Linked DNA regions of Tamandua tetradactyla. The protein of the gene in region 2 purifies or fractionates together with the protein of the main gene of each other region. This does not show direct contact. Links are inferred from orthologs where the notes say so. Each region holds a gene or a part of one and is shown on either strand. Other genes may lie near its edges. The genes, in order: DDX21, STAU1, ELAVL1 and TUBA1A.

Region 1 (6,956 bases), on a different chromosome or scaffold from region 2:
GAACAATTTGGTATAAGACAACAAGAGTATAATTAGTAGGCTTGATGAGTTCAGGCAGTCAAGGAACTGAGAAGCAGGTTTTATATGTGTGGTTTTCCCAAACAGTGATGTCTCTTAGTTTGAAAGCCAGGCCTGAGGAGGGAGAGGAAGAGCCAGGTACCAAACTATTGATGGTGTGGAGGTTGGTAAATTGCTAGAATGAGGAAGATTATAGGATATTACCACGTATCTTCAGAGAAGCAAGGGCTTTTACATGAAAGTGAAGGAGTAATCTAGAAATGGCTTTGAGGAAAAGAGGACACTGACTTGAAGGTTCATGGTATGCAAAGGAACCAGCAACTTTTGTGTGAGAAAACTGCAGGGAACAGTTTTTTTTTTTTTCCCCTTAACATGGGGAGGCACCGGGAATTGAACCCAGGTCTCTGGCATGGCAGGCAAGAACTCCACCACTGAGCCCAGTTTGCCCATCCTGCAGTGGGTGTGGGGGGGGGGTAGTATTTTCCAGGAAGAGCCAGATTTCAGTTAAAGCAAGGAGAGTTGAAGAACTTTGTGTGATGGATTGAGGAAGGAAGTTTTGATTATGAGGAATAGAGTTCCAGATGACCATGACTGATGGGAAGATCTCAGTTGGCTCTGCATTTGAGTAGTTGTGAACTCTGAATTTATATCCAAGATAAATTAGAGGTTCAGTTCCTATAAAGGTGAATGAGTACCAGTACATTCAGTCAGAATATGTTAGGCACCTACAATATCCCAGACACTATACTTTGGGCCCAAGGAAAGCCAGGTCTCTATCCTCAGGAGCTCAGAATCTTGTGAAATAGATGGACACATAAGCCTAGGTAAACAACAGTGAACTAAGTGTAGTTAAGTGCTCTGTGCAAGGGCACTGAGCCCAGCCCAGCAATGGGGTTGGGGGTTCAGAGGAAGCTTTTTGGATATAATGACTGAATATGAATGAAGTCAGGTAAAAGAAACAGGGATGTGGGGATGGGCATCCAGGCAAAGGCAAAGAAAAGCTAATAAAACAATAAAGTCTAAGTATGGGGAACCATGAGTAGTTCTTGCTGCTGAGATCTTCACTGTTAGGAAAGCATTGGTGAGAACAAGGCTAGAGTCATATCTTGGGGCATTTTGCAGGCCTTGTTTTGAAGAGCCACTGGAGGCTTTTAGGGAAGAGATTAAAAAATTAGTAAGCATTAAGATAAATGACAGCAAGGTAGAGGGTGGTCTTAAGGCTGACTTCTTTATTAGCCTACTCTCAGGCAAGGAAGTGGGGTGGATCCTAATAAGATTAAATAATAGCTTCCCATATTTCTGAAAAGGCAGGGCAAGTTCTCATGAAATTCTTAGCCTTGGGTTACTCAGTGATTTATCCTTACTCTACTTCTCCCTCTTCGAGCCCAGCGCCTTCATGGCTTTCCCTTTTAGCTATTCAGAGTCTCCAGTGTGGTGCTGTGCTCTAGTGTGGTTAGTTAACTACTTGAACTTGAATCAGTTACCCACAGCTTTGGTTTTTGAATTTGTAAATGAAATAATATGTTTTATTCCTTCAGCATTACAAGTTTGAATAATGAATTCACATTTAGGTGTAACTGTCAGCCTTTTCTGTTTTTTACATATTTGGGGTTGGGAGAAGCTGCTTAATAGTTTTTTTTTTTTTTTTTTACCATATTTTTTTCCTTATTAGTAATACATGTCCATTGTTGAAAATTTGAAAAAAGAGAAACAAATGGAAGAAAATAAAACACTCATAATTAACATCCCTCAGAGAAAAGTAGTGCTAACATTTTGTTGCATAGACTTTTGAATTCCTTCGGTGTGCATTTATGTATGTATATGTACATTTTAAAATAGAAATTCTCTCCCTAATCTTATGAAAACATGTTACCTCATGGAGATCAGAGGAAACTGGTCCAGAGAGTTGATACTTAAACAGGACTTCACAATACCTATCAAGGCCCAATTTTTTCCACTTATTACGGATTTTATACTGATGACTTGATTTCAGTATAATTATTTGGCCATCTTTGAGCCAAAAGGGACTTTTTTGTGTGTTTCCTCTTGGAATGCTGGGCTCTGCCTGTGTGCAGATACGTTCGTTACAAAGGATATTTTATAAACCTGACAACAGTTTTCCATTTAGTAGTTTGTTCTGGGTTTTTTCCTCCTATTGAAAATGTGTTAATAATAAACATGTCCTTATACAGTTTCAGCAGTATCATGAACAGCAGTATCACATGGTTTTGTGGTTTCTCAACCAAATTGCAGATTCCCTGAAGTAGGGACACGGTCTTAACATCTATAACCCAGAGTCCACAGTATGTGCTGAAATTCCAGATGAAAAGCATTTTGTTAGTTAGTTGATTGGTGGAATCCATTCATGCTTCCTTCCCCTTCTATCACACACAACAATCAGAATGACTGACATGCTCTCCTGCCTGGACTTATATCTAAAATTTATTTTGAGGGTGTTTTTGCTTTTCATGATTGCTATTTGAATGATAAACAAACATTTGCGTGACAGCCTCCTATTTATGTGCCAGGCTGAAATACTGAGGATACAAAGATGGATAAATAAATGAAGGCTCCTGGCTCAAGGATATCACAAAGTGTAAGTTAAAGCATTGTTGCACATGTACATAACTTTATCTTTTAAAAAGAATGAGACTGTGAAACACAGAACAGTAATAGCTTAAATATGAAAAATTTCCATAAGTTTTCCATAAAACTATTAGTTTAAAAATGTCCAGGGTGGGCCATGGTGGCTCAGCAGGCGGAGTTCTCACCTGCCATGCCAAAGACCCGGGGTTCAATTCCCTGTGGCCACCCATGCAAAAAAAAAAAAAATCACAAAAATAAAATGTACAGTAAAAATTAATCTCATGAAATATAGAGATAAAACTTTATTTTTTCCTTTGTCATAAAAGGCAGTATTTTTAATTGTCCAAACACTTGTGACACATCAGTGAGTTGCAAATTTCTTTTATTGTGCCTTATGTGCTAGGTAACGCCAAACCCTTTACATTCATGACATTAAATTTTCTCAACAAATGAGTTAGGTTTGTTATCTCTATATCATGAGAAACTCAGGCTCATATTCTGTAACGTGTCCAAAATCACCGAGCTATTTTTAATGGAATCGGCAGGTTTCAAAGCCTTTCTTGTAGAATTCCATCACATTCTCTTAAAAGACCATGATGCATTTTCTTCCAATTCTTTGTATCACCAGTTCTTCAGATAAAGTTTAAGTGACCGTCACGGATGGGCCACTTTTTCTCAACTGCTTGGATTATATCTTGTCGAGATCATGCAAGACAGGGAGTCCCTATTATTTTCTGATGTAGGCCTACGTGATTTGGGTGCCCCATCTAGTGTTCCCAAGCCCAGTTTAGGTGCCTTTTTGTACCTTCAGAACAAATGCCACTCGTCCTCTCTCCCACCAGTCTATAAAGCTTCCCCAAGAAAAGGTTAGTGTAATATCTCCTACCGAATCCTAGCACTGTTCTCCGACGCAAAGTGAATACTCAGAGATTGTGCGCTGAATATATGAGCACACACATGAACAACCGGACCCGACTGAATTCGGGTGCTTACCGAGACTCGTCAGTTTGGGCATCACCTTTCAGGTAGAAATATAAGAAGTTCAAAAAAACACATCTCGCGCGTCTGTACGCGAAAGGGCTTTGCACACTCGAGCAATCTAATACAAACACCGAAGAGGCGCCACTCATTTATCGGCTGGGGCTTACGAGAATCTGGCACGATAATACAAAGCTAACCTTTGTGGTCCTTTTCAGTTCTACCCTTTGGCAGGTGCCTTGTAGTCCAGGCGCTGTAAATGGAAATGGTTCATTCGCTAATCACAGGCTACGTCAGCAGCCGGAGCGTTGAGACACGCATGGGCCTCGCCTGCTTTGTACGTCCTGCTTCCGCCGGAAATGTCTTGATACGGGAAGTGACGAAAACTGGGTGGGCTAAAGAGGCAGTTCTATCTTTTCCTCTCCACGCGGTTGCCGAGTTTGGCTGGTCTACGCAGGTTCTGTTGAGTGATGCCGGGAAAACTCCTTAGTGACGTCGGCTTGGAATCAAATACGGCCATGGGAAAAAAGGAGACACAACGAAAGCAAAATGAGAAGGTGCCACGGAGGGCTGAGGGATCGGGGGCGAGGCAGGGAGAGGGACCGGGATGCTGAGGGGAGCGGGGCCCTGGAGTACGGGAGAGGAGGTACCCGGGCTGGGAGAGCGTGGCGCGCGGCGAGGAGACGGGGCGTGTAGTTTCGCCAAGAGGCTCTCGAGGGTGGTGGTCTCCAAGGGCAGTTCGTCGCTCTCGGAACTCTGGCTCTCTTCGGCAAGGCGCTGGGACCTCTGGCAACAAGGCCGGGGCAGATCCGATCTGGGGAACGGCAGATCGGGTGTCCCACGTGGTCTCCGGAGTCTGGGCCCCGTGCATGTGGTACGCAGAGTTGGACATTCACATTTGGCCCTTAGGTTGCCGGCTCAGATTTAACGACGGGCGTGAGCGTGGGCGGTGGTGTATCAAAGTCAGTAGAGGAAGTAGGGACTGACGTCTTAACTAAAGAAATACTAACCCTATTTGAGCACGTGGGGAGAGATTTTTAGAGGGCGGGCAAATGCTGGCGGCGTCTGCAGTAAGAGAAGTAGTTTGTCTTCTGGTGAGCAGCCCTTTGAAGAAGAAATAATTCAACTCCTCCTAATATTTACCGATCTAATTTGCTATGGAAATGTGACGAGAAGGGCTGTGGTGCTACCTGTACACTATTTTTTATATGGGCCAGTAGTATGTGAATTACCTTGACAACCGGGTACTTCTTTGATGCTGAATCCTATACCCACTTGAGTTTCTCTTCTGAGATGAGGTCAGTGAAAACACCAATTGTCCCTGAATTTGCTTTGTATTTGACTTACAATTTCCTTTCCTAGCTGTTTCTGTATCTTCCTGATGGGAGAGCATTTGGTATTGTGGGAAGCAGACAGAGTACAAATTTGTCCCCACAGATGGGGATGTAGTGGTTCTGGTTTACTTGTTTGAATCAGTTTGTGCGCTTAGGGAATTCTCAGATTAAGAGGAACCTCTTTGATTCCCGGCCCAGGCACTCCAAAAAAAAAAAAAAAAAAAAAAAATCAACAAATGGTGCTGCAGTAACGGAATATTCACATGGAAAAGAATGAAATGTGACCCCCACCCACAACATACCAAAAAAAAAAAAAAAAAGGAACATAATTAAACTTTCCCAAAGAGACCCATCTATTTGGTAGAACCAGGGAATGAAAAGTGGAGCAAAGTCTTGGGGAGAGACCAACTTTTTCCTCTGTTTATTAGAAGGGTGGTCACGTGGGAGAGAGGTTATCCATAGTCTGTGATTCTAAAACTGAGAACTGACGTTTCAGGAAGGTAAATTTCACTCTGATAGTTTCTGAACTTCCAGGGATTTGCTTGGGGCTCTGCCCAGGTTCTAACAGGTATAGCCTGTCCAACTAATTGTAATAAGTTTTCAGTAATCTGAAAAGTTGAATAGGGTCAGAAGTTTCAGGTAGGACCTCTAGCCGTATGTCTGGTTTGGTTTGGTGGTTTCACCCCTTCCATTTCCTTTTAACTTGTGCATCTGTGGTTTGCTGCTACTGTTGTTGAATTAAAGTATATCATTTTTACACATTGGCTGTGGGTCTTTATAGCTTTTTGGTTCATAAAATGTTTCTATGTAAATTCATTTGAGCTTGTGTGAGAGGTAAAGCAAATATTATTCTTGTTTTGCTTGAGGTGGAATTCTAGTAGGTACAAAAAGAAGGAATCTGTGTGACAGCATCCATTTGTGTACATACAACCCTATCGGTATTAATTTTGAACTGTGCTTGATCACTTTCTATAGTATTTAGTTTATTTCTTTTTTGTATTTTTTAAAAATTATTTTTTAGAAAGATAAAAAAGAGAAGTCAAAATCTGATAAGACGAAAGGATCAGCAGAAGAAAAGGAGGCTATGTCCCCCAAAGCAAAAAAAGTTAAAAAGGCAGGACCTTCTGACGTTGATATGAATTCTCCTAAATCCACAAAGGTAACAAAGAAGAAAGAGGAGCTATCTGAAAAAGACATTATTTCTCCTAAAATTAAAAATGGGAAAAAGAAAAAGGAGGCCTCTGAAAACAAAATTGTTTCTCCTAAAGTAAAAAAAATGAGTGAGGAACCTTCTGAAGAAGAAATAGGTGTTCCTAAGCCCAAGAAGATAAAGAAAGATAAAGAAATGAATGGAGAAATTGGAAAGAAAAGCTGTAAGCTGAATGGCTTTCCCCATTCTGGACTTGAGTCTAGTGAAGCTGGAAGTGAAGAAAGTAAGGAGTTAGAACAGGTAAAGTTGCACTGTTAAGGGGTAGAATGTATTTCTTTGTTTCAAAATGCAAAGCAATACCTACGAATACTATTTAATATGTGGGGTGGGAATTTGATGTGTCGGCATTTCATGAGTGGGGGCTGGGGTGGGCACCCTGACTTATCTCAGTTTATTAAATTGCATTGAGTTGGAATGCTTCCTCTGCAATGAGTAGATCTGTTTAAGCTTAGGGAAAGTCTTACAATCCTTGGTCTGCTGCTTATTTGCAAGTCAGTAAATCAATTGGAGAGGTATAGTTATGCAGGCAGGACTAGCTTCCCTCTAAGGGGTTTTGCCAAGTCATGATTAAGTGGAACTACAGAAAAGGTGTTGATTGATTGCATAAAAATCTTTTTGTTCAGACCATTAATTAACTTGAGTTGAATAGTATGAGTGAAGTTCTGCCTACTTGGAAGCTACTTTTATCTTTCAAAAACTTGGTAATCAAAATAAATTTAAATTCTGTTAAGTAATTTTTTACTTGCAGCAAGATCTTAATTTTTCCCCTCAATTATTAAAAATATTCTTGATATTCTCACAAGCAGTGGGGACAACAAAAGCAATAGGCT
Region 2 (8,010 bases):
CAGCGTTTTGAGGAACCGCCAAACTGCCTTCCACAGCGGTTGCACCATTTGACATTCCCACCAACAGTGAATAAGTGCCTCTTTCTCCACATCCTCTCCAGCATTTGTCATTTCTGTTTTGTTGATAATGGCCATTGTGGAAGGGCAAGGTGCCCCGAATTGCTAAAAGTATCTTTTTTTTTTTTCAAAAAGCACTAATTATTATTCCACTTTATGAATGTCAGAGTTTATTTAGCTAGTCATAGACCAACAGACAATGGTATTAGTTTCAAACTTTTGCTTTTACAAACCAAGTTTCCATTAATAGCCTTGAATTCATACTGATATTTTAAAGAATCATTTGTTTTTCCCTTCCCTTGAACTGTCTGTTGCTCTCTCCTATCCATTTTTCTATTGGGTTGTTAATCTTTTGTTATTCATAGGAGCACTTTATACTTTATGAAATTTGCATTTTCTGTAATTGAGATGCAAATTCTTTCCTGTTTGTCATTTGTATTTTTACTTTTCAAGATTAAAAGTTTTTCACTTTCTTGAAGACAAATGTATCTTTTACTTTAAGGCTCCTGAGTTTTATGTTATAATTAAAATGTTCTTTTCCATTTCAAGATTATAAAAGAATTATCACAGAGATTCTTCAGGCAATATTACAGTTTCTTTCTTTCCTATTAAATCCTTGATCCATTCAGCATTTTTCCCTGGTGTAAGATATGAGATATGGATTTATCTTTACTTTTTTTCCCCAGAGGCTAGCTTGTGGTCCCAAACCATTTATTGAATACAATCCATCTTTTCCTCATGAATTTGAATACGTTAATGAATACTAAATTCCTATATGTTTGGGCCTATTTGGGATTTCTTTTCTCTTCCCTGATTTGCCTGTCTATTCAAGCATTAGTACCTAACTATTTCAATGAATAAGTGTTTATAACATGTTTAATATTTGGCTAGATATCTCAGAGAAAGTTCCTGGCTATTCTTTCTTGTTAGTTTTTCAAAAGAATTCAGACACAGCTTGTGTTAATCAGGGTTCTCTAGAGAAACAGAACCAACAGGAGATATCTGTAAATATGAGATTTATAAAGGCATCTCATGCAACTGTGAGAATGGACGAATCCAAAATCCATAGGGCAGGCTGTGAAGCTGGTGGCAACAATGAAGGGTTTGGACAGATTCCACAGGAGAGGCTCGCTGGCTGAAGAAGCCGTGAAGAAGTCTTCAACTGGTTGGACTACCTCATTGGTGGGAGACATGCCTGAGTTGATCTTGGTTGTAATCAGCCACTGATGCAATCAACAGACTGATGATTTAATACATCAGCCTTTGGGTTCATCAACCAGCCATGAAACATCCTTGTAGCCATGGACAGGCCGTTGCTTGCCTGACCAGACAACTGGGTACCATCACTTGGCCTAGATGACACCAGACCCTTACTATTATGTAATTCATCTAGTTTCAAAACAAAGTCCTACTTGCATTTTTATTGAGATCTCATTAAATGTCTTGATCCACTGATCATCTTAGGAATGCAGATTCTTCCCAGCCAAGAACGTTGCTTATATTTCTATGTAGTCAAGTCCTTTTCTGTATCTTTATGTAGATTTTAACATTTTCTTCACATAGCTTGTGCATATTTTTTGTAAAGTTTATTTCGAGGAATTTTTCTTTTATCCAATGCTCTGTAAATGGGATCTTCTATTTGACCTCCCATTATCAGGAGATTCTGAGATAGATTTAGTGGTGCAGTCTACCTGAAATGATCTTGAGAATTACTCACCTAGACTTGTTAGTAGTTCTCAGCCCTGGCTCCCGTTACAAGACATACCAAAGTGATCTGAGCTTCCGTCACAGTGATGGGAGTACACTGTTCTGCCTGTGTCAGGCTCTGGGTGAGAGACCAGGGACACTGTGACAACCAGGACACCTGGGTAACCCGCCCTCACGGAGGCTGACTGCCTGGTCTTAGATAAGCAGAGATACTCAGTGAATAATTAACTGAATAAATACAAGGGTACAAAGAGTTCTGCTACACGGTATGAAAGTTGAGTGGAGAGAATTCATTAGGTGTTAACACCTATTAACATGTGCAGGGAAGGCTTCAATTACCTCCCATGTGCTACTGACTCACACCTTTGTGTCTCCAGCAGACTCTTCCTCTGAGCTCCAGATCTGCCACTGCCACTGCCCCTTGAACGTCTCCAGGGCATATCAAAATGCCAAAAAAAAAAAAGCTTATCTTCTAGAAAACTAAAAGTCATTCTTGATTCTTCCATTTCCCTTCCCACTGCAATCTGATCCACCCCCCATCCAGTACATTTTTCTGAATAACTGTTGCCTACATCCATTTCTCTCCCATGCCCACCAACCCCTGAAGCCGGGCTCTTCTCCTCAGTCACTTGGACAACTGCAGCAACCACCTACCTGAGCCCCCAGTTGAAACTTCTTCCAGTGTGCTCCACAGACTAGCTGGAGGGATCTTTAAAGAACTCAAATCTGAACATTTACTTCCTCTCTAAAACCCTCCAATATCTTCCCATTGCATTTAACACAAAGACAGAACTCCTTAACAAGGCCTATAAGCAAGGCGCAGCCTGGCCTTTGCCAGATCTCCAGTCTCACCTTGAATCACACTCCAATCTGCTTTCCGAGTGGCCACCAAACTGGCCTTAAAAATGGCTGAGGAGATTGTATTTTCCAAAACTCACTTCAACAGTGTCTCATTCCTACAAGTTGCCCACGATCTCAGCCATAGTCCATTGGGAGGTGGAATCTAATTTTCTTACCCTGGGGTCTGGACAGGATTGTGTCTTGCTTGCAGCCACTAACGTACATTGAAGTGGCTCTGTGTGACGCCCAAGGCTGGTTCACAAAAGACAACGCAGCTCTGCCTTGCTCACTGGGAAACTTACTCTTAAAGCCTTTTGTTGCCACATAAGCAATCTGACCGCCCTGAAGCTGCCATGCTGTGAAGTCCAAACTCGCCAAGGCAGAGAGACTACCGGGACAGGCCCTGAGTCTACATGAAAACAGAGATGCCCAGCCAGCCCCCCAGGTGCTCCATCCCCCACTGTTCCAGCTCCAGGCACCACCTGACTGCAACCACAGAAATTCTCAGTTAGGACTGTTCAGCTAAGCCCTTCTGATTTCTGGTCCACAGAATCTTGGCTAGCTAATAAAATGATTGATACTCTTATTAAGCAATCAAGTTTGAGAGTGATTTCTTTCACACCAATAATAACTACAGTATGTGCCATATGCTGACCCACCCCTGGACTTACTGTATGCTTTCCCCTGTCCTTGGGAACACTTCCTGCACCCCATATGTTGAATGACTACTTACTTATTCTTCAAGTTTTTACTAAAGCTACGGTGCTTCAGGGTTATTTTCCCTAAACCATGAAACGAGGTCAGATCCCCCATGAAATGCCCTCATAACATCATGTACAGTTCATTCCTACATGCATCATTGCATTTGGAGATTATTTGACCGATGACTGCTTTCAGAGTCTTCAGCTCTGTGGACCAGATTCAGCTCATGCACTTACACAGTAGGCAAGACATTGCAAACTCAAATGCCAACAGGGAAGTAACATAAATGAGCGACATGGGCAGGGTGGGCACCGTGCTGTAATGCAAAGAACATGTCCATCTATAGGGTGTAGCTGCCACTCAGCAGGCTCTCTGCAACCTGATCTGTTTCATTATTAAAGCAACAATGCAAACCTAGATAACCACGTGATTGTTAGAATAATTGCAACTAATCCAAACAACAAACAAAAAAAGAAATAGAAAACAACAACCACCTGGAGATTTAACATCCTTCATTTCGCTAAGTATTCCAAACTTTCGGAATGTACGGCCAAGATATAGGTTAGCTGTAGGGCTGGCCGGGGTTCAGGAGAGGGTTCCTTAGATTAGCTTTTCTCTGGCCTAGACGCCATCCATCACATTCTCTTCCAAGGGCCTCAAGACCTTCTGACTCTTACCAAGTAACTAAGGTTTTCTTTGGGAGGAAGATGGAAGTAAGAAACTGTGATCATTAAGTATGTTACACTAAATTCTGTGTTGTTCTACCCAGAAGATAAATTGTGTCTGTAAAAAGGAATGGGGACATACAAAGTTCATAAAAGCCTATGAAAAGTCATAAAAATCACAAAAGTCTAAAAATTACACTTCTTGTTTCTGGAATGTTCCGCCCTCACACGTTCGGCGGGCTCAGGTCTCGCTCCGACGTCTCCCCGGAAGGGCCCGCCCGCCCGTCCCCGTCGGTCACCTCGTCCTCTCCGTTTTCTTCACAGCACTTGCGGCCCTCTCAGGGCGTCTTGTTTGCTTGCGCGGCTGCGGTTTCTGCCTGTCTCCCCTCCTTTTGGGCAAGGCATTTATCGATCTGAACCCTTTGTATAGACTACGGAGTTTATTTACTTATTGCGTGTTTTATCCCCACTAGAATGCAAGTTCCATGAGGGCAGGGGTCTTTCTGTTTGGTCACCATGCTTTCCGCTCTCACAGTGACGCCTGCTCAGACACACTTACGAAAGGAAGAAGGGGGGGAAGGAGGGTGGGAGGGAGGCCGGAAAGGAGGCCGGAAGGGAGGGAGAACCGGAAGGGCGGAAGGACCGCCCACTTTCCCAGGTACACCTCGCGCGGGCCTGCAGTCCGGGACCCCAACTCCCAGCAGGCCCAGGGGCCCAGGGCGGGCCGCGGCGTGCCACGCCGACTCGGCCCCAGTCCGCCAGGTTCCCGGCGCGCCCCGCGAGCTCAGGCGCCGCCGGAGCGCCCGCCGGGACTTGTGGTTCCGGCCACGGGTGGGGGTGGGGCCGGGCATGGAGGCGGGCGGGGGCCGAGGGCGGGCGCCGGCCCCTCCCCCGTCACTTCCTGCCAGGCTGCGGGCGCCCAGCGGCTCCTCAGCGTTTGCGCCCGCGGCCGCCGCGTCTCTCTGGTTTCCCCCTTCCCCTCACGTCCCGGCCGGGCGGCGCCCGCCCCCTCCACGGCCACTCCGCCTTTTCCCTCCCGCCGTCCCCTCTTCCTCTCCCCACTTCCTTCCTCCTGCCCCTTCTCGACGTCGCCGCCGCCACCCAGGCCTGTCGGCCGGGGGACGAACTCGGGGCAGCAGCCAGGTGAGGCGGCTGGGCCCGGCCTGGCCGGCCCGCGCGGGGCCGTGGGCGCGGGGCGGCGGGCGGCGGGTGGGGCCTAGGCCTCGGCGAGCCGCGCGCGGGGTCGCCGTCCCCGGGCCTCTGTCCGCCGGCGGGGCCTTCCCCAGGGAGGCGGGTCCTGCCGAGACCCCCGGTCAGGGCGCCCGGCGGCCTTGCTGCTGCCCTCCCCCACCCCCTCCACCCCCTGCTGGGGCCACAAACAGGTGCCACGACCGCCTTTCCGCGCTCGGAGCCGCCGAAGTTATTCCCGGGCCAGGGGCCGGGGGAGCGGGTAGGGGCGCGGCTCGGAACTCCGGAGCCCCGGAGCCCCGGAACAGCCCGGTGCCCCCAACCCGGCTCTGGAACGTGGTGACTGCGAGCACTGCTCAGGTGTTCACCGTGGGCATAGATCCTCGCCCTGCCTTCTTGGGCGAGTCGCTGAAACTCTTTGGGCTTCTTTGGAAAAGGGGCTCACAAGGTCCCGCTGCTAAGGTTCAGTGAGCCGGGGCGTGTGAAGCCCTCATCAGAGCTTCAGACCCTCCGCGGGTCCCGGTAAGCCGCCTGCATCTTTTATTAGCGTGGTATTAAGGTGTAATTGAATGGGTAGAGCGGACAGAAGTTGACCCGCCTTCCAGTTTGCGTTTCCTTAGAGGCAGGGATGTTGAGCGTGCCCACCAGCAGCTCCAGGACATTGTTTTGGGTTGTTAATGTCTGAAAGGGGCGAACGCTGGAATGGGACACCTTGGAGCAGCCGTCTGTAAAAGGTAGATGTTGTATGTCCGTCTCCTCCGCTTGACCGACGGCAGGGTTCCCACCAGCTCCCTCACTGCGAGCAACCGGTCCTTTTCTTCTTCCGTTGTTGGACTTCTTGTTATTCCATTTTCTGGGAAACTTGCTGGCAGAAGCTTCCCTTGAGTTCGGCAAACGTTTTTGGAGCACCTGATGTGTGTCGGGCTCTGGAAGGGGATTGTACGAAGATGGAAAAAATAAGTCCTTTCTTGCTCTCCATCTATACTTCCTAACTTTTTTTGCACTGCAGCTTTGCTTTTATTCCCTGCGTCCCCGTTGGCAGACTTTCATTTTCAGCTCTTGCTCCTTCCGTGTGTTACAGTTTTGCTTGTGTGGAAGTTTTCTCCCGATCCCGCAGAAATGCGTGTTTCAGTCTGTTCTGCCACTCCTCTTTGACTCTAGGGACGTTTTTAAGATCACTCTTCCCTTCTCCTTGTGACTTTGATTAGAAGGCGGTGGAAAGAGTTAAACTAGGTTTTCCGTGGATTTTGGCCTTTCAGAAATCAGTGTGCTTACCAAATGTAAGTTACGTTGCTACTTGTTGAGTTAAAAACTAAAAATACAGTTGGATTATAGAGGGAGCAGTTTCAATCATCCTGGCAACAGGTGGGATTTTTAGAACAGTTTTATTCATCATGCTGATTTTCTTTTAATTCTGTACTTAGTTGTATATTGCACCCTTCATTAAGGAATTGAAACTCCTGAAAGTTCAAATTTACAGGAATTAGAAATAGCATGTGTTTGTTATACTGAATGGGTTCTTTTAGGCAGCGAATTTCTTTAGTAAACTTAAAATGTTTTTATAACCATCCCACAATAATACAACAATGCAAAGTATCCTCTCTGTTCTCGGCATTTTCCTAGAATTTTCTGACATAAAGTCTTACCATCATTTTTACTTTAAATCTTGTTATGGCTCTTTAGAAACACTTAAAAAACACCTATACAGACAATACAAAGCATGTCTTCTGCCATATTGTGAATTGAAGTGCTAGAGAAGTGATGCTTAATGCTGCTGTAGATAACTTCAAGTTGTCATAGAACAACTGTTTATTATGGAAACCTACAAAAGTTGGTTAGAGAACCGCCATGTATTGGTCACTCATCTTTGACAATTATTAACTCATAGCTAAAGTCAATCTTGTTTCCTGTTTCCCACAAACTGGATTATTTTGAAACAGAACTCAAACATCATATCATAACTTTAGCGATTTTGACTTTTATCAGAATGCCTCAGTGTGTTAATTTGTCACAAAATCTACTTTCAGCAGGATCATAGTTCTAAATTTTGTTTGTTGGGGTGCCCGTCTCTGTTTACATACGAGTACAATGGAAAAAAAATTAGCTTCAAGATTAGTTATTGATCCAGTGCTTTCTCCCCTCAAAGTAAAATCCAAAAATACTTCCTTGTTTTTTTTGTGTGTGCAAAAACAACAGTTCTTTCGCTGCTGATGGCTGTAACTGGAAAGCAATCAGAAATACAGATTTCCTGAACCCTGTTCCGGTGAAGATGTACCTGTTAAGCCACTTTTAATGGAGAATAATTTTTCAATGGAGAATAATTTTTCATCAAAGTTAAACACAGTTAATAATTCATAATGAAAACTTTCAAAGTTTTTTTTGTTTTTATAGCAGTTGTGTAAGTATGCCGATATCACTTGAAGGTATGAATTAAGCCTAAGTATTTAATTTCAAAAGCCACTGTTTAAGAATTGTTTTGGCAAGGCCTTCCTCATCTGCTGTGTTTACAAACAGCAAGTTCAGTCTGAATGAAATGTTAAATTTGGTGATTAGTATGAAATCACAACATAGGTGTTCATATTTTCTTTCTTGTCTAAAAAAGAGATCTTTCCTAGAGTTGAATGGAAGTTAACAGAAATATTTAAATGTTTGTCATTGTTACTTAATTTTCTAAGTTCTGATCATGAACAGTTTCCAGTCTTAGACCTGAAACATTGTTATTTTGATTTTATAGGTTTACTTTTACGCTTGATCAAGTACATTGGAAATGTTATATGTTATGTTTTAGTCATTACACCCTGGGAGATAGGGAGGGATATGCCTTTTAAATCTAAGAAAAATAAAGCAATTT
Region 3 (7,283 bases), on a different chromosome or scaffold from region 2:
TTCTAATAATGTCCTTTTGGACCTTTTTACCTCCATATTGTGCTTAACTGTCATTTTCTCTTTGGTCTCTCTCTCTTCCTATCTCTTTTTTAAATGTGGTAACATATATACATCATAAAATTTCCCACCTCAATCACTCCCAAGCTATTCAATTCCCAATGCTGTGCTACCATCACTACCTTCCAATAGGAAAACTTCTCTATCTACCCAAGCAGAAACCCTGCACTCATTATATTTCATGCAATTTTCACAGGTCACAAAATATTATTCTTGTTTTGATTTTTTTCAACCATTAAAAGACGGTAAAAACAACACTCAGCTAGTGGGCTGTACAAAAATAGGTGGTGGGGGGCAGGCCTCGGTGGCTCAGTGGCAGAGTTCTCGTCTGCCATGCTGGAGACCCGAGTTTGATTCCTGGAGCCTGCCCATACAAAAAACAAACAAACAAAAAAAGGCAGTGGGCTAAATTGGTTTATAGTTTGCCAACTCTAGGACTTCGGGATAAAATCCCAACGGCTCTGCCTACCCCCTCAGGTCTCTTTGCAACAACATCCGGACATTGGTCCAATTTCATCTGGCCATCCTTTTCCTTCACCACCTGTATCCCAGCACCTCCCACAACTCACTTTTCAAGAGCAGGGACCTAGGCCGAAGCATCTTTGTGTCTCCTGACCTCACAGACCTTCAATAGCTTGTGCTTAAGGAACAGACCAGGACTTAGAGGGAAAGCAAGAACAACATGGAAACATAGTGACTTGAGTGTACTCCTCAGGTACTTAGGGTATTCCTCGAGTACTTCCTACTGTAAGAAGGAAAACTACACTTCTTACAGAAAAAAAAGAAAAAGGAAAAAAGAAAGCAAGAACTTCCTCTCAAATTCAAACCACAGAAAAAAGGATCTCTGTGACTAGGCAGACCTGAGTTCAAATCCTGACTCTGTCACTCTGTGCACTAGATTATGTGTACTCATGCAAGTCACTTCTGGTTTTGCTCTTAGGACTGAGTCTCAACTTACAATGGTCAACGAGGCCCCGTGCAGCCCACCTCTGCCAATCCCATGAGTCCTTCTCCTGTCCGTGTATTCTATGTGTGCCAGCCTCCAGCCTGCCTCAGGGCCTTTGTACTTGCTGTTCTTTCTGCCTGAAGTATTCTGCTTCCTCTTTGCTTGGTAACTCACCCTTCATGACTAAGCTGAAACACCAATGACATGGGAAGCCTTCCTTAGCCATCCTAAAACAAAGTCAAGTCCTCCAGTTATATGCTTTGCTGATGGCCCAAACCTCTGTTAGATTATAATTAGTTGTGCAATTTATTATAATAAGATATAATAAGCACATTATGCCAGATCTTGTTCTAGAGATTCTAAATGGGTTATTTCACCTAACTCTCACAGCACCTTCAGGAAAATTATAATCATCCCCATTTTATAGATGGGGAAATTGAAGCTCAGAAAGACAAAATAATTTGTCCAAAGTTGCACAGTTAATATACGTTGGAGCTCTGCTCTTAAACCAGTCTCTGTAAGCTGACTCAAAGTTCTGTGAGGGTAGATGCCATGTCTGTGTGGTCACTGTTGTATGCCTAGGGCTAGCACCTGCAACTAATGCTAATGTGACATGCCAGTAGCAACAAGTACACCTAGTAATTAGATTTTGGTATCTAAAACCATTTCCAATAAATGGAACCTGGGATCCTTGAAGAAATGGCTGATTCAAGAACCAGGGCAGGAAAGAGACAAGGTGAGCCCAGAACTTCTTGCTGTTCCAGGGAGTAAGAAAATGCTCTAAAACAATAATGCACAAAAACACACCGTTGGGGGTATGGCAGAGCTCCCAATGGCCAAAGCCAGTACAACGTAAGCAACAAAATAAAGTTGTTTTGAGTATTAACCCAAAGCATAAAATAAATATTCACAAGTCCCTAGTGATCTAATTAAATGTTTGACTAAATTAATACAGGGTGGAGAAGAGAGGAATCTCCCATGCAGAAGAATTCCAAACAATTTATATGGATACTCCACCCTGAAGGAGGGGGAGCATACTGCCCCATTCCTTAAATATGGGTTGTGCTCAATGCCTTCCTTCCAAAGACACAATAAGGAAAGGCTGGGGGAAAAGTAACCTCACAGTGGAGAAACTCAACAGAAGCTACCTCAGCCAGGTAGCATCAAGGCCAACATCCACAGTCAAAAATAACACTAACAGCATGTCCTCTTGATAAGATGATGAGAAGGGCATTTTACTTCAGTGTTTTTCCTTCTAAGAACCTGTAATCACGTTCTTATGAGAAACACATCAGACAAATCCCAGGAGAAGGATGTCCTACAGAACACCTGACCAGTGCCCCTCAAAAGAGTCAAGACTGTCAAAAACAAGGAGAGGTTGAGAAACTACCTTGGCCTAAAGGAGACTAAAGAGACGTGGTAACTACATGTTATGCAGAGTCCTTGATGGGATCCCAGGACAGAAAAAGGACATTAGGGAGAAACTAAGGAAATGTGAATAAGTCTGGACCTTAGTTAATGAGAACAGGTCAATATTGGTTCATTAATTGTAACAAACGTATCTAAGTAATCTAAGCTGGTTCTAATAGGGGAAACTAGGTGTGGGGCATATGGGAACTCTACTATCCTCACAGTTTTCTTGGAAAGCTAAAACTGTTCTAAAAAATAAAGTCTATTGCTACTACTACTAAAAAAGTATTGCTATATAACCAAAGGGCTTCATCATTCATCATGGTGACAATGACTTCAAGGATTACCTGGGAGGACGTGCATAAAGCATTTAACACAGTATGCACTCAACACTGAGGGCTTGCTTCTGCCATACTAAACTTAGGCTATCTGCTGCAGGAACTATTCCCCTATGTGGCTATGTATATTTAAATTCATTAAAATAAAATGCAATTAAAAATTCAGTTCCTCAATGGCACTGGACACATGTCAGACACCCAAAAGCCACATGAAGTTACTGGTGACTGAATTAGACAGTGCAAATGTAAAACAGGCCCATTATTCCAGATGGCTCTACAGGACACTGCACTAAACAATGAATAGCATAATTATTTGTCCATTGTCCTCAGCTCCTTCAAGTTCTTCCTCCAGTGCCATCTCCTCAATATGAGGCCTTTCCAAGCACCCTCTTTTAAAATGCAACCCCTGTACTCCCCATCACCCTTCTTCAGTTTGCTTTTCTCCTTACCACTTTTCACCACTGAATGTGGAATCCACTTGATTGGTTTCTTTTCTCCCCCTGGGTCTACACTGGCAACGTGTGCCTCTTGAGTTCTTGAAATGTGGCCAGTTGGACTTGAGAAGTGCTGAGACAGATTTTAAAGACGTGGGGGAACAAAAAAGAATTTTAAAAGGTCTCGTAATTTTTTATATTATTCTACGTTGAAATAATAATGTTTTGGACATCTCGGGTTAAATAAACATTATTAAAATTCATTTCACCTATTTTTCCTTTTAAATTTTTGAACGTAGCTACTAGAACACTTAAATGACACGTGGCTGGCATTTGTAGTTGGCTTATATTTCTATGGGCAGCGCTGATACAGAATGCCAACTACAAGAACATTTAAAATTACGTTCGTGGCTCACATCTGGCTTTTCTGGACAGCGCTCGTCTAGAACGTCAGCCTAATGAGGGCAGGATTTCTTGTCTGATCACTGCCCCTACAGTGACTTGCACACAGTAGGCGCTCAATAAAGTTTTATTGAGTGAATGTTAGACTGAGCCTCTGGGAGCTCACCAGGTCCTGACCAGGTCCAAGGCCCGCCTCCTCACCTCATCAGATAAGGAAACTGAGGCCCGGCGAGGTGACGTCAGCCCCTGTCCAATAGTACGTACCGCGGAAACGTCTGGGCCGGGATTCGAACCCGCGTCCAGTCCCCTGTAGTCTGGAGTGGTGACTCTTCCTACCTGGCAGGGCGGCGGCAGCGGGGCAGACAAGCTCGGGCCACAAGGCAGGGATTCGACAAGGATCCCTTTTCTCTTTCTCTGCCGACCGGGACTTCCGTGGGCCCGGGCCTTAGCTCTCCCCTTCGCGGCCATCGCGGGCCACCGAGTATCACCGCAGGCGGCACCGGCAGGAAGTCCCGCCTCCCCCGCGCGCCTTGAGCACCGCGACAGCTGCACTGGCCAATAGGAAGAGCGCCGTGGCAGGCGCCGGCCAATGGGCGCGCGCGCCTGGGGGGCGTGTCCGGGCCGCGGGCCGGAGCGGGTCGTGCGCGCTGAGGAAGAGCCGCCGCCGCCGCCGCCGTCGCCGCCGCCGCCGCTACCGAGGCCGAGCGGAGCCGTTAGCGCCGAGCCGCCGCCTCCCGCCCGCCCCGGAGCAGCCCCGGGCCCGTCCGCCCGCGTCCAGGTGAGATGGGAGCCTTCGGCGGCGCCCGGCGATGTAGGCCGCGCCAGGCCTGAGCTCTCCTGACCGGGCCGCGGGCGCCCGCGGGCCTGCACCGGCCGAGGGCCAGGCCGCGCCAGGCCGGGAGGGGACGCGCACGGGCCGCGGGCGAGTGGGGTCCGGCGGGTGTGAGCGCCGGCGACAGGCCCAGGGCCGGATTCCTCGGCCGTCGCGAGGGTGGGCGAGGGGGACACGGCGTGGGCGCGCGCCTGGCGGCTGGGGCAAGCGCTCGGCCCCAAGGCCCCGGCGGGCTTGGAAGCCCGGGATCCGGGGGCGGGAGCGTGAAGCCAGAGACCCGGGAGTGGGGTGAGCGTCAACTGCGCCTAGAGGTCACGGCCCGCGAGCTCGCTCCCCCGGGAAATCCTACAGATTCTTTTGTGGACTGCGACCGATCCGGAGTCCTTTTCGAAGTGTGCAAACCCGTTAGTATGTATGGGAGTCCTAGAAAAATATTTATTTTTGGGCGCCATCTCTAACAAAGCTGTTCACGGGGCGTGGGACGTTAAGATTTGTAAAATGTGTGTGTGTTGAAAACACAAACAGCACGCAATTGAACAATGGGGGATGGATGCTTTTCTTTCCTTTTCCGGTGTTTTTTGCTAGGTTTGTTAAAATGGGTTCTGATACCTGCTGGATATATGGCGGGTGGGAGAGAACTTTGCATGTGCTGCCCCTGGAGAGACACAGCCCCTACCTTACTAAAAGTATTCAGGTAGGAGCCCGATGGCCAATGCTCTAGAAGTGGGAACACAAGGAAGATGATGGGACTAGAAAAGGGTTGCCTAACCTCAGAACTACTGACAATTTGGGCGGGATAAGTCTTGGTTGTGGGGGCTGTCCTGTGAATTCTAGGATGTTTAGTAGCCTCCATGGCCTCTTCTCTCCAGATGCCAGCAGCATTTCCTCTTCCTACTCCCCCACCCTACCCTAAGCATGAAGATCAAAAATGTCTCCAGACATTGCCAAAAGTCCTCAGGGGGTGCAAAATCGCCCCCGCCCCCAGAATGAGAACCACTGGACTAGATGAACTTTCACTAAGAGGCCCCCAGTCTCCATTCTTCACTCTGTCTCCCCAGGATCCAAGGCTCCTGAGACCATGGACAAACTCAATTATTGGAGCCTTAGCTTACTTCTCTGTGAAATGGAAAGGCTGAGAGTATTAAGGTGTGGATTTAAGTCAATTATTTGGTAATCTATTGTGCATGGCCTTTGCATGGTGGGCACTTAATAAATGATGTTGTAAATAATCTCCAGTATTTATTGAGAACTTATTTTTGCTTAACATTGCACAGACATCTCCAACCCTTGATTGCTGTTATAATTTCCATTTTACAAACAAAAAAAAAATGAGCAGAGGTGGGACACTTGATAATGGCCAAACTCACACAGTAAAGTGGCCAAGTTGGGACTTTAACTTGGGCCCTCTGACTCAAAAGGCCCCATTCTTAACCACAGGGTTTTACTGCTCTTATCATCTCAGCAGCCCAGGAGACCCAGAGAGACAGTGTTTCAAGGAATTCCATTCAGTTATCATTGAGCACTCCCTGTGTGCTGGATTCTATTATAAAATTCTGCCACCTCAAGGTCCACAAAAAGGCTGAGATATATGAATGTCTCAAAATGTGGAAGGAAAAAATGTTTATGTTGAAGCCCTAGCTTGGGAGGTAGGCAGAATTCCATTTTAGTTGTGTTGATTCTGAGGTCACAGGGCAGCAAGTAGAAAATGAGAGGAGAATTAGGAAAGTGCTCTTTCTGCTGTTCGCTCTATTGTCTCTCACTCAGGCCATGTTTCCTGCTTCCTGTCTCTATCCTCTGTCCACAATCCAGCAAGGATTGTCTTTTTAAAACAAGGATCTGATCATGACACTCCTGATTAAAAGTCCTTGGGTGGGGAAGAAACAGTTGAACTTTTTGAGTGGCTTGCAAGATGAAGTCAAAAGTCCTCAGCTTGGGGCTCCAGGTCTTTCATACTCTAATGCTCTCTTCCTTTCTGACCTCATCTAAACTCTGGCCCTCTCTGTTGCTCCCACTTCCTGAATGCTGTTCTCTTCCACCTGGAGATCTCTTCCTTATGCTGCATAGCCCAGCTCAGAGCTCACTCACGGCTTGAAGCCTTCTCCAACTCCCACCCTTCCTCCACCTCCACCAGAATTAACTGTTCCCTCACTTGTGCCCCCATCCCATTCAATTTTCATTTGAATCCAATTAAATGCTAGTGAGAGAAGTGCAGTTACACTATTTCACCCCTAGATGGCAATAGTGAAGCAGTAAGGCCTTGGGACAGGGGAAGACCCAAGGAAACCAGCCTGTAAAAGGGAAGTGAGTTTTGCTTCCCTCCTCAGCTAACTCCCCCTGATCTGCTGTTGTGTCCCAGGCTTGTCAGTGGAATATACAGGGTGTATGGAGATCATTTCAGTCCGCTCTGGTGAGTGCAGTGATAAATTATGCACTGGCTTCAGGGAAGCACAGAAAAGGGCACTGTTAACCAAGACTTGGTGGGCAGAAGAGATGGCAGAGACCTTCTGGAGGAGGCAAGGTGTGAGGGCTGGGGTGGAGTTAACCAGAATCCTTCCACAATGGGGAAGGGTTTTGATGGATGCAGGAACAGCATGAGGAAAGACACGGAGATGGGAATATCTCAGTTTCTTCAGGGAACCTGGGGTTTGGTGCTTGAGGGGCAGGTAAGAAGGGTGGAAGCCAGTAGAGGCAAGGTGAGTGGGATGAGTCAGGCCCAGTTGTGAAGGGCTTCACATCTGTCTGTTGTATAAAGAGTTCTCCTTAAGGCTGGGCCAGGAATGGCTATTGAATAGTTTTAGTCCACAAAGTGGGGAAGTCACATTTGCACACAGAAGGAAGAGATGGGGAGGGGGTGATAAAGCTGA
Region 4 (7,252 bases), on a different chromosome or scaffold from region 2:
TGAACCCAGAACCGGTTCCCCCACCAAAGCTATGGAAAACCAAGAAGCCCTGAAGACCTGTGCACTGGTCAGCCTGTTAGAAAAGAGAAGAATAGGGAAAAGATAGTTATTGTTCTTTGTGATACACGCACAGTAAATGTATTTTCATTCTTCATACATCTCCAAGTATATAGATATTACTTTGACAATAAACATTTTTTAAATGTAGAAATTAAAATTACTCAGGAAATTACTCAGGATTTATTAATTTAAAAAATCTTCATTAATATTTTTAAAATGATACCATATCATTCATGTTTTAACTGGGTTTTTTAAAAAACCTAAAGGAATAATTCATCTCTTTATTATATTTCAATGTTGTGTTTGAAAAAAACATTTATTTCAGATGTCTTCCTTAGGTTCATTACTTTACTGTATTCTTGAGAAGAAACACATACCAGTTTGCGAATTCTGTCCAGAACCAGGTCAATGATCTCCTTGCCAATGGTGTAGTGCCCGCGGGCATAGTTATTGGCAGCATCTTCCTTGCCTGTGATGAGCTGCTCAGGGTGGAAGAGCTGGCGGTAGGTGCCAGTGCGGACTTCATCTGGAAAAGGAAAGCAAAGCGCAACCCATCATTAACAACCTGCACAAGCCTACTTAACCCTGGGGCATAAATGGAGCGTCCAGGACAGACCTGTCCCAGACCCCTGCAATCTCACTCAGGTTACTGACTTCCACTCACCAATGACTGTGGGTTCCAGATCTACAAACACTGCCCTGGGCACATGCTTGCCGGCGCCTGTCTCACTGAAGAAGGTGTTGAAGGAGTCATCTCCTCCGCCAATGGTCTTGTCACTTGGCATCTGGCCATCGGGCTGGATGCCGTGTTCCAGGCAGTAGAGCTCCCAGCAGGCATTGCCAATCTGGACACCAGCCTGGCCGACATGGATGGAGATGCACTCACGCTGTGCAAAGGGAAAAAGAAAAAAATGTGAAGTTAAGCTGTATTAGCATTTTGAATTTTCAGTATACAGGTATTCTTCAAAAAGTTTTGAGGTCTTATCCCTAACATAACAGAAATAAGTAAGAAAAAGCACCTGCTACAACTGCGGCAGATGGGTGTGGTCCAAATGATAATGTGCCTGTTTAGCACATGGTACAAACCCATTGTTCCCACAGTCATGCTTGAGTAAAGATTTTTCTTATTTAAAAATACACGAAGTATAGACTTAGTAAAATGAAGTAAATTAAATTAAATGCTAAATTAACTGGAATTCACTGCTTCCTTCCCCTTCTAATAAAGATTAGGGTTTTGCCTAAATGAGACTTGATGTCTAACATTGACATCTGCACTGCAGCTGGGGCTAACTGCCACACCCATCTGCAGTCTATCTGCAGAATTCATGGATACTAGGAGATGAGAAGCTAAACAAAGTCTCCTGGCATTGCTGCATTGCTGCATTTGCTGTGCTGGTGCTAACTTGTACTGTCTGCTACATTATTTAACAGAGCAAGCTCTATTTTCAGCAACCGCCTACATGATCTCATTGTGCTGTTTTGCCAGTTTTCCTTCTCTGACCCAGCCTGGGACCAATGTGCCCGAATTGAAATGAATTAATGAAAAGGCACTAGAACAAAAGACATCTGGATTCAGAGTATAATCCAGTCTTCTTTGTCTGCAGAAATTTAGTTACTTAAAAAAATGCTTTTTCCAGAATCTTCTCCAGTTTAAAAAACCTGAAAAATTATGTTTAAAACAGCAGTTCCTAAATTGGAAACAAGTAACACAAGAGAAGCTACCAAACAAAGGATAAAAACCCAGTGAGACGATAATGAAATATTTATTTAAAACAACAAAATATTTTAATTCTGAGATTCTCTACCCACTACAGAATATTTCATACTCATCACATTCCGTAGATTTTCTTCTCTATGTCTTTAAGACAACTTTCATTGTCTATTCATTGTCTAGTATGGGGGTGGGGGTGGGGAAGGGCGTTTCCCTGAGTTCTGGCCTTATAGTGCCCTGGCTCACAAAGTGCCTTTCTCCCTCGGTGAACGTAGCCCAGAAGGACGGACGCACGCAGACACACAGACACACACACGTCGGCATCCCCAGACCAGACACTTAAGGTCTTGTCAAAAGTGAACTGTGATTTTGCTTTTTAAGAAAAATATATTTCATCTAAGTTTTAACAGTGAATGAAAAACCTTTTAACGCCTACAGTTTCGCAATGATTAAAAGTTTTTGTTAGAAGTCTTCTCCTTTTACGAGGGCGAACCCCGCCCAGTGGCTGCAACGCTAGAGAAGCAAGAAACAAACAACTCCGCCCCTGCGCCACGCTTACGCCGCCGGCGGTGGGATCCAACAGAAACTAACAATTTTATCCCGTTACTATTCGGGGGTCTGCCTAGTATACCAACGAATCCGCGAGAGACCTTTTTGCATTAATTGAAAATTTTGCTTTTCAGACAACTCCCCTCCCTGTTCCTGGAATACGAAGCGACAAAGAAAAGAGCACATTCACCGACATACAAGCAGGCGACGCCACGATCGCCTTTTTCCGGCCCCAGACCTTTTCATCTTCGACAGAAGGCCTCGGCATTTCGCCCGTTTGCGGTACTGTAGGGCTCGGGTGACAAAAGCTCCCTCCCCGTCGCCTTTGTTCCCCCCCCCCCCCCATCCTTCTCTGCGCTGTGGGCGCAGTTCTTGCTTGGCTCCCCCACCGGCACTGCGACAGCCAGCCTTAGAGCTAAACCTCTTAAACAAAGCAAAGAGATTGCGAAGGAAAATAGTTTAAGGTTTTCCGAGTAGAATGGAGATCTGATCTTACCAAACTGCCGCAGAGGGCCGGAGAAAATAGATACTTACCATGGTTACTCCTTGGCGGCTGCAGAACAGATGGCGGAGACGAGGAGGAGAGGTTGTTGCTTCTTACAGCGCGACTCTTAGGCGGTCGATGTAAGAGAACCTACGGCACATGGGCGAATGCGGCTCCCTATATACAACTCGGTCACCATGGGAATGGACCGGGGCCTTTTCCTGTTGGTCCAGACCCCTCAGTCTGCCCAGAGAAGCCACAACAAGAGAGTGGTGATTGGTGCAAGCGACATGGGATGAGGTAATCTCTCCCCCACCCGTTTCCCCCCAGCATCCATAGACTGTTTGCATCCTTCAGACAAAGAGACCAAGGAAAAGGAGTCAACCGTGTATCCATGATGGGGTGGGGTCGGGGGGAAATGGGAGGAAAGAGGAGTGGGGTTGAATGATTTTATATTTCACAGTCAAGCTACAGTTAAAATCAACCATATAGAGGTTTTTTTTTTCCTACACTTAATCACAGAATGTGAGATGAAATATTTAATGGAAAATTAATCCCAATCTCTCCTTGATAGTATACTAAGATCGACTATATTCAACGAAGATTCAATATCCCTAATTGCTTTTAAAAGGAAGGAGGAGAATATGGGAATACAGTGTTTTTGTGCATGATTTTTTTGGTAAACCTACAAGTTCCCTAATCAAAGTTTTTGTTTTTGTTTTTTTTAAAAAAATTAAGTAGGAGAGAGGATGGGAGTGATGCTTAAAATGGCTTCAGTAAACTGGGTTTTTTTTTTTTCATTTTAAAAATATTCAGTAATAGAGCCATTCCAAATGGTTTCTTGGGTGAAAGTATTTTATTTTCAAACCTTCGTTTCCACCCCTTCCCCCATAGCTGAACAAAAATGAAGGAGGAAAGAATGACCATACTAACAAGGCAGCGCACAATAGTGTTAACTTGGCAGTATTTGGAATTTAACATAAATAGTGAAATAATCTACTGGAAATAGTCTTTTACCAGAAATCTATGTAATGTTTTTTGTGTGGCATATTGTCCCTAGAAATGAATCATTGTCCTGATATAGAATTGAAAAAATACAAGGAGAAAGAATTGAGTTCAGAAGCTAAACTACCTGTGTGTGTGGTTATATTTCTGCATTGTTCTCTTTTTTGGAACGTAATAAGCAAAAATAATAACTGAGACACCAAATTAAAAAGAGGAGATATGTAACGTAAAGAGAAGACCATCTTGAAGTGTTACCTCCATTCACTGTTTTGTAATGTCAGCTCAACAACTGCATTTCTTTTTTATGTAGTTCTTATGTGAGTTCAATAAATACCCTCTTCTGCATTTGGCTTCTAACTGTGGGAATTGCAATCAGTCTCACACGGTTGCTATTCAACCAGAAGCTCTGGTTGTTGCTCAGTTGCCCACTGGGGACAAAAAAGGCTTTGCATTCGCCCCCCACGAAATGGATTACAGTAACATTCTTTTGCTATTTAGAAAGTTTCCATTATCAACAAGGATGGGCAGTGCAGAGTAAGTCTCTGGCCTGAGTACCAACCTGACTTGGCTGATGAAATTTCATAATTTAAGAGGTTATTTTTTGCCACTAAAGTTGGAAAACTGTATTTAGGCAGATAATGTTTCCTTTAGGTAACAGATTTTCAAGGTCTGCAGCATCATTTACAGTGCTGTGCAGAACACATTCATTCCTGCCTGTCTGGTAGGCAGAGCAGGTTATAGGAGGGAGGGCCTAGAGGAGACAGCTGCTGCAGGTTGTGGTGTGTCAGTGGCGGCCATGAATTTTCCCAACCTACCATCTACAGCTCTGTTTTACTTGTTCTAGTCGTCTCTTAAAAACAAAAACAAAAACAAAAAAACCCAGCACACAAGTCATTTTATCTACTTTTTACATATTTCATAGGAAAATGTTGCTCAACATAATTTTATCTCTATCCCGTTAGCAAATAAAAGTATATTTCAATAAAGAGAAAGGATTAAGGATGGCTTGAATCCCATATGCTTCTTTCTGAACCCAGAATTACATTTAACCACCAAAAATAAGAATTAAATGGTAGAGGGGAGCATAAAGACTTATAAGTTACGCATTTCTTTCAAAATCTAAATGATGAAAGATATAAGACAGGGCGAGACTATGGTAAAATGAATAAGTTTCCTTTTGGAATGAGAGGCACAGCCTTGAATTTTATTTTCTTTACAATAGAAAAGGTTAAGAAATATATCATTTCTGCATTAGTCTCAGTTCTTTATACGGTTTACGGAAGATTGAATAAAAGAGAGGAGGTTCCTGCAGCTGATTCTTTGTAATTCTATCTCAGAGCCATTCTGTGTCTTATGTAAATGAGGTGTTTTTTTTTCTCTTGGGCATAAGTAACAATAAGATATAGGTCAGAAATACACTATTTGACAACTGGTAATCTATTAAATATAAAAATGCAACAGCATGGGGAAGTAATTAATTTGTTCTTTTTGTTCCTCATTATCTGACTTAATAGCACGCAAAAAGTATGTTTTTTATTAGTTCACGTCTTATTTTTACTGCCAGTTCCTGACATCAGTTTACGTGTAAAAGTAATCTGTTATAGATTTGTTCCTGTACATAGTAAGATTAGTATAAAATATTGCTCTTTTGAGGTATTTGTGGAATTTTGTTTTATTTATTTGCATGTCTGTACCTTTCCTCCATTAAAATGTGAGTCCTAGTCCCTAGGAAAGTGTCTAGCATAAGTAGACATTAATTACATATTCTTTGAATTAAATAATTAAATGGACAGCTTCTCTCTGTGCATATTTCATTTACTATTATCGTGGTGAATAATTTAAAGGTCTTAATAGAGTATGTTACATTTTATATTCAACACCTATTTATGAGAATCTACAGTGAGCACCAGTGTGGGGAATTCAGAAGTAGTTGCATAGACATTTTTCCCTAGAAAAATGGAAAAAAATTTTCCAGTCGAGTTGAAGAAGTAAGACATGTACATGTGTATTGGCTTGAGACTGACATGCTTTTGTATGTGTAGGGTGATGGAACATTTGTAGACTCCATTGCAAGGTCCCATATATCATAACTTATGTAGGAAACAAGAGAGTTGTCTAACACATTTTCTTCTATTTCTTCACCTCCTGTTCATACCTAAATCCATTCCCACCTGAATTCTGCTCCAATTTCCCCTTGAAACCAAATGTCCTCCACTTTTGTTGTTAAATCCGCTGCACAAATTTTTGTTCTTGTTGACTTCTGATAAACTTTGCTTCTATTAACTATTTTCTCTTTCTTGAGACATTTTCTTCCTTTCATCTGCGTTTTCCTGGTTTCCCTCCTACATCTTTGGCTGTCTTTACTGGTACCACCTCCTTTTTCTAAACTTTAAATGTTGACATTTCTAAATGTTCAACTCTAGCCTTTTCTTCATTTTATTCCATGTTCCATAGATGATCCCATACATTCCTAGAATAAACACATTCACTCTCAAGGTATCAAATGCTTTTTTTATGTTGATGATTTCTCAGCATCTCTTCTTAGCTCCAGATCATATAGTAAACTTCCAACCTCTAGCTTGATATTTCACAGATATCTTAAACTAAACTAGTGGTCTTCTTCCCAAACAGGCACTTCTTACAAGGTTCTCTTGCTCAGTAAATGGAGCAGCATACACCCCATCTCTCAAAAATAGAAACCTGAGAATTATTCTTGACCCCTCCATCTCTTTTTATGAATACCACAGAATCTGTCATTAAGCCCTGTCAAGTCTATCTATTAAATAACTCTCAAATTGTATTCTTTTCTCTCTGCCTTTATTGCTTCCATTTAGTGCATCCTTTCTTGCCTGGATAACCTCAGTAAACTCCTAGAAGATTTTCTGCACATTCACCTCTCACTTCTAGACCCCCCACCCACCAGCAGCCACAGTGATCTTATTAAAGTACATATTTGATCATGTCACTTCAGTAACCTCCTAGAAGATTTTCTGCACATTCACCTCTCACTTCTAGACCCCCCACCCACCAGCAGCCACAGTGATCTTATTAAAGTACATATTTGATCATGTCACTTCACTGCTTAAAGCAGTGCAATGGCTGTGGATTAGTTAGTTTTTTTTTTTTTTTTAACTTTTTTTATTGTATAGTATATAACATATACACAAAGCAAAGAAATAAAACAGCAATAGTTTTCAAAGCACTCTTCAAAAAAGTGGTTACAGGATTGATCCCAGAGTCTGTCATGGGCTACCATATGATACTCTCATATTTTTCCTTCTAGCTGCTCCAGAATATAGGAGGCTAGCGGGCTTAAATACTTTTTTATCATCACAATCGACATTTTTTTTCCTTCTTTTTTTGTGAACAATAACATATATACAAAAAAGCTATAAATTTCCAGGCACAACAGCACAATTAGTTGTAGAACATATTTCAGACGT

The links.
Region 1: the proteins of STAU1 (region 2) and DDX21 purify together in Homo sapiens (affinity purification with mass spectrometry; 4 studies listed by BioGRID and IntAct, with this or other methods). This does not show direct contact. The link is inferred for Tamandua tetradactyla from reciprocal best matches to the Homo sapiens genes STAU1 and DDX21.
Region 3: the proteins of STAU1 (region 2) and ELAVL1 purify together in Homo sapiens (affinity purification with mass spectrometry; 3 studies listed by BioGRID, with this or other methods). This does not show direct contact. The link is inferred for Tamandua tetradactyla from reciprocal best matches to the Homo sapiens genes STAU1 and ELAVL1.
Region 4: the proteins of STAU1 (region 2) and TUBA1A purify together in Homo sapiens (affinity purification with western blotting; 3 studies listed by BioGRID and IntAct, with this or other methods). This does not show direct contact. The link is inferred for Tamandua tetradactyla from reciprocal best matches to the Homo sapiens genes STAU1 and TUBA1A.

The regions. Positions count from the first base shown.
Region 1 is NC_135339.1:28,236,713-28,243,668, reverse strand, and holds the start of DDX21 (nucleolar RNA helicase 2), read left to right. Parts: upstream 1-3,944; 5' UTR 3,945-4,052; coding exon 4,053-4,139; exon of another isoform or gene 4,140-4,546; intron 4,547-5,937; coding exon 5,938-6,366; intron 6,367-6,956.
Region 2 is NC_135327.1:3,468,919-3,476,928, forward strand, and holds the start of STAU1 (double-stranded RNA-binding protein Staufen homolog 1), read left to right. Parts: upstream 1-4,997; 5' UTR 4,998-5,114; intron 5,115-8,010. UniProt on the Homo sapiens protein: Binds double-stranded RNA (regardless of the sequence) and tubulin.
Region 3 is NC_135337.1:84,443,739-84,451,021, reverse strand, and holds the start of ELAVL1 (ELAV-like protein 1), read left to right. Parts: upstream 1-4,263; 5' UTR 4,264-4,365; intron 4,366-7,283. UniProt on the Homo sapiens protein: RNA-binding protein that binds to the 3'-UTR region of mRNAs and increases their stability.
Region 4 is NC_135333.1:110,096,277-110,103,528, forward strand, and holds the start of TUBA1A (tubulin alpha-1A chain), read right to left. Parts: upstream 3,003-7,252; 5' UTR 2,858-3,002; coding exon 2,855-2,857; exon of another isoform or gene 2,685-2,854; intron 948-2,684; coding exon 725-947; intron 587-724; coding exon 438-586; intron 74-437; coding exon 1-73. UniProt on the Homo sapiens protein: Tubulin is the major constituent of microtubules, a cylinder consisting of laterally associated linear protofilaments composed of alpha- and beta-tubulin heterodimers.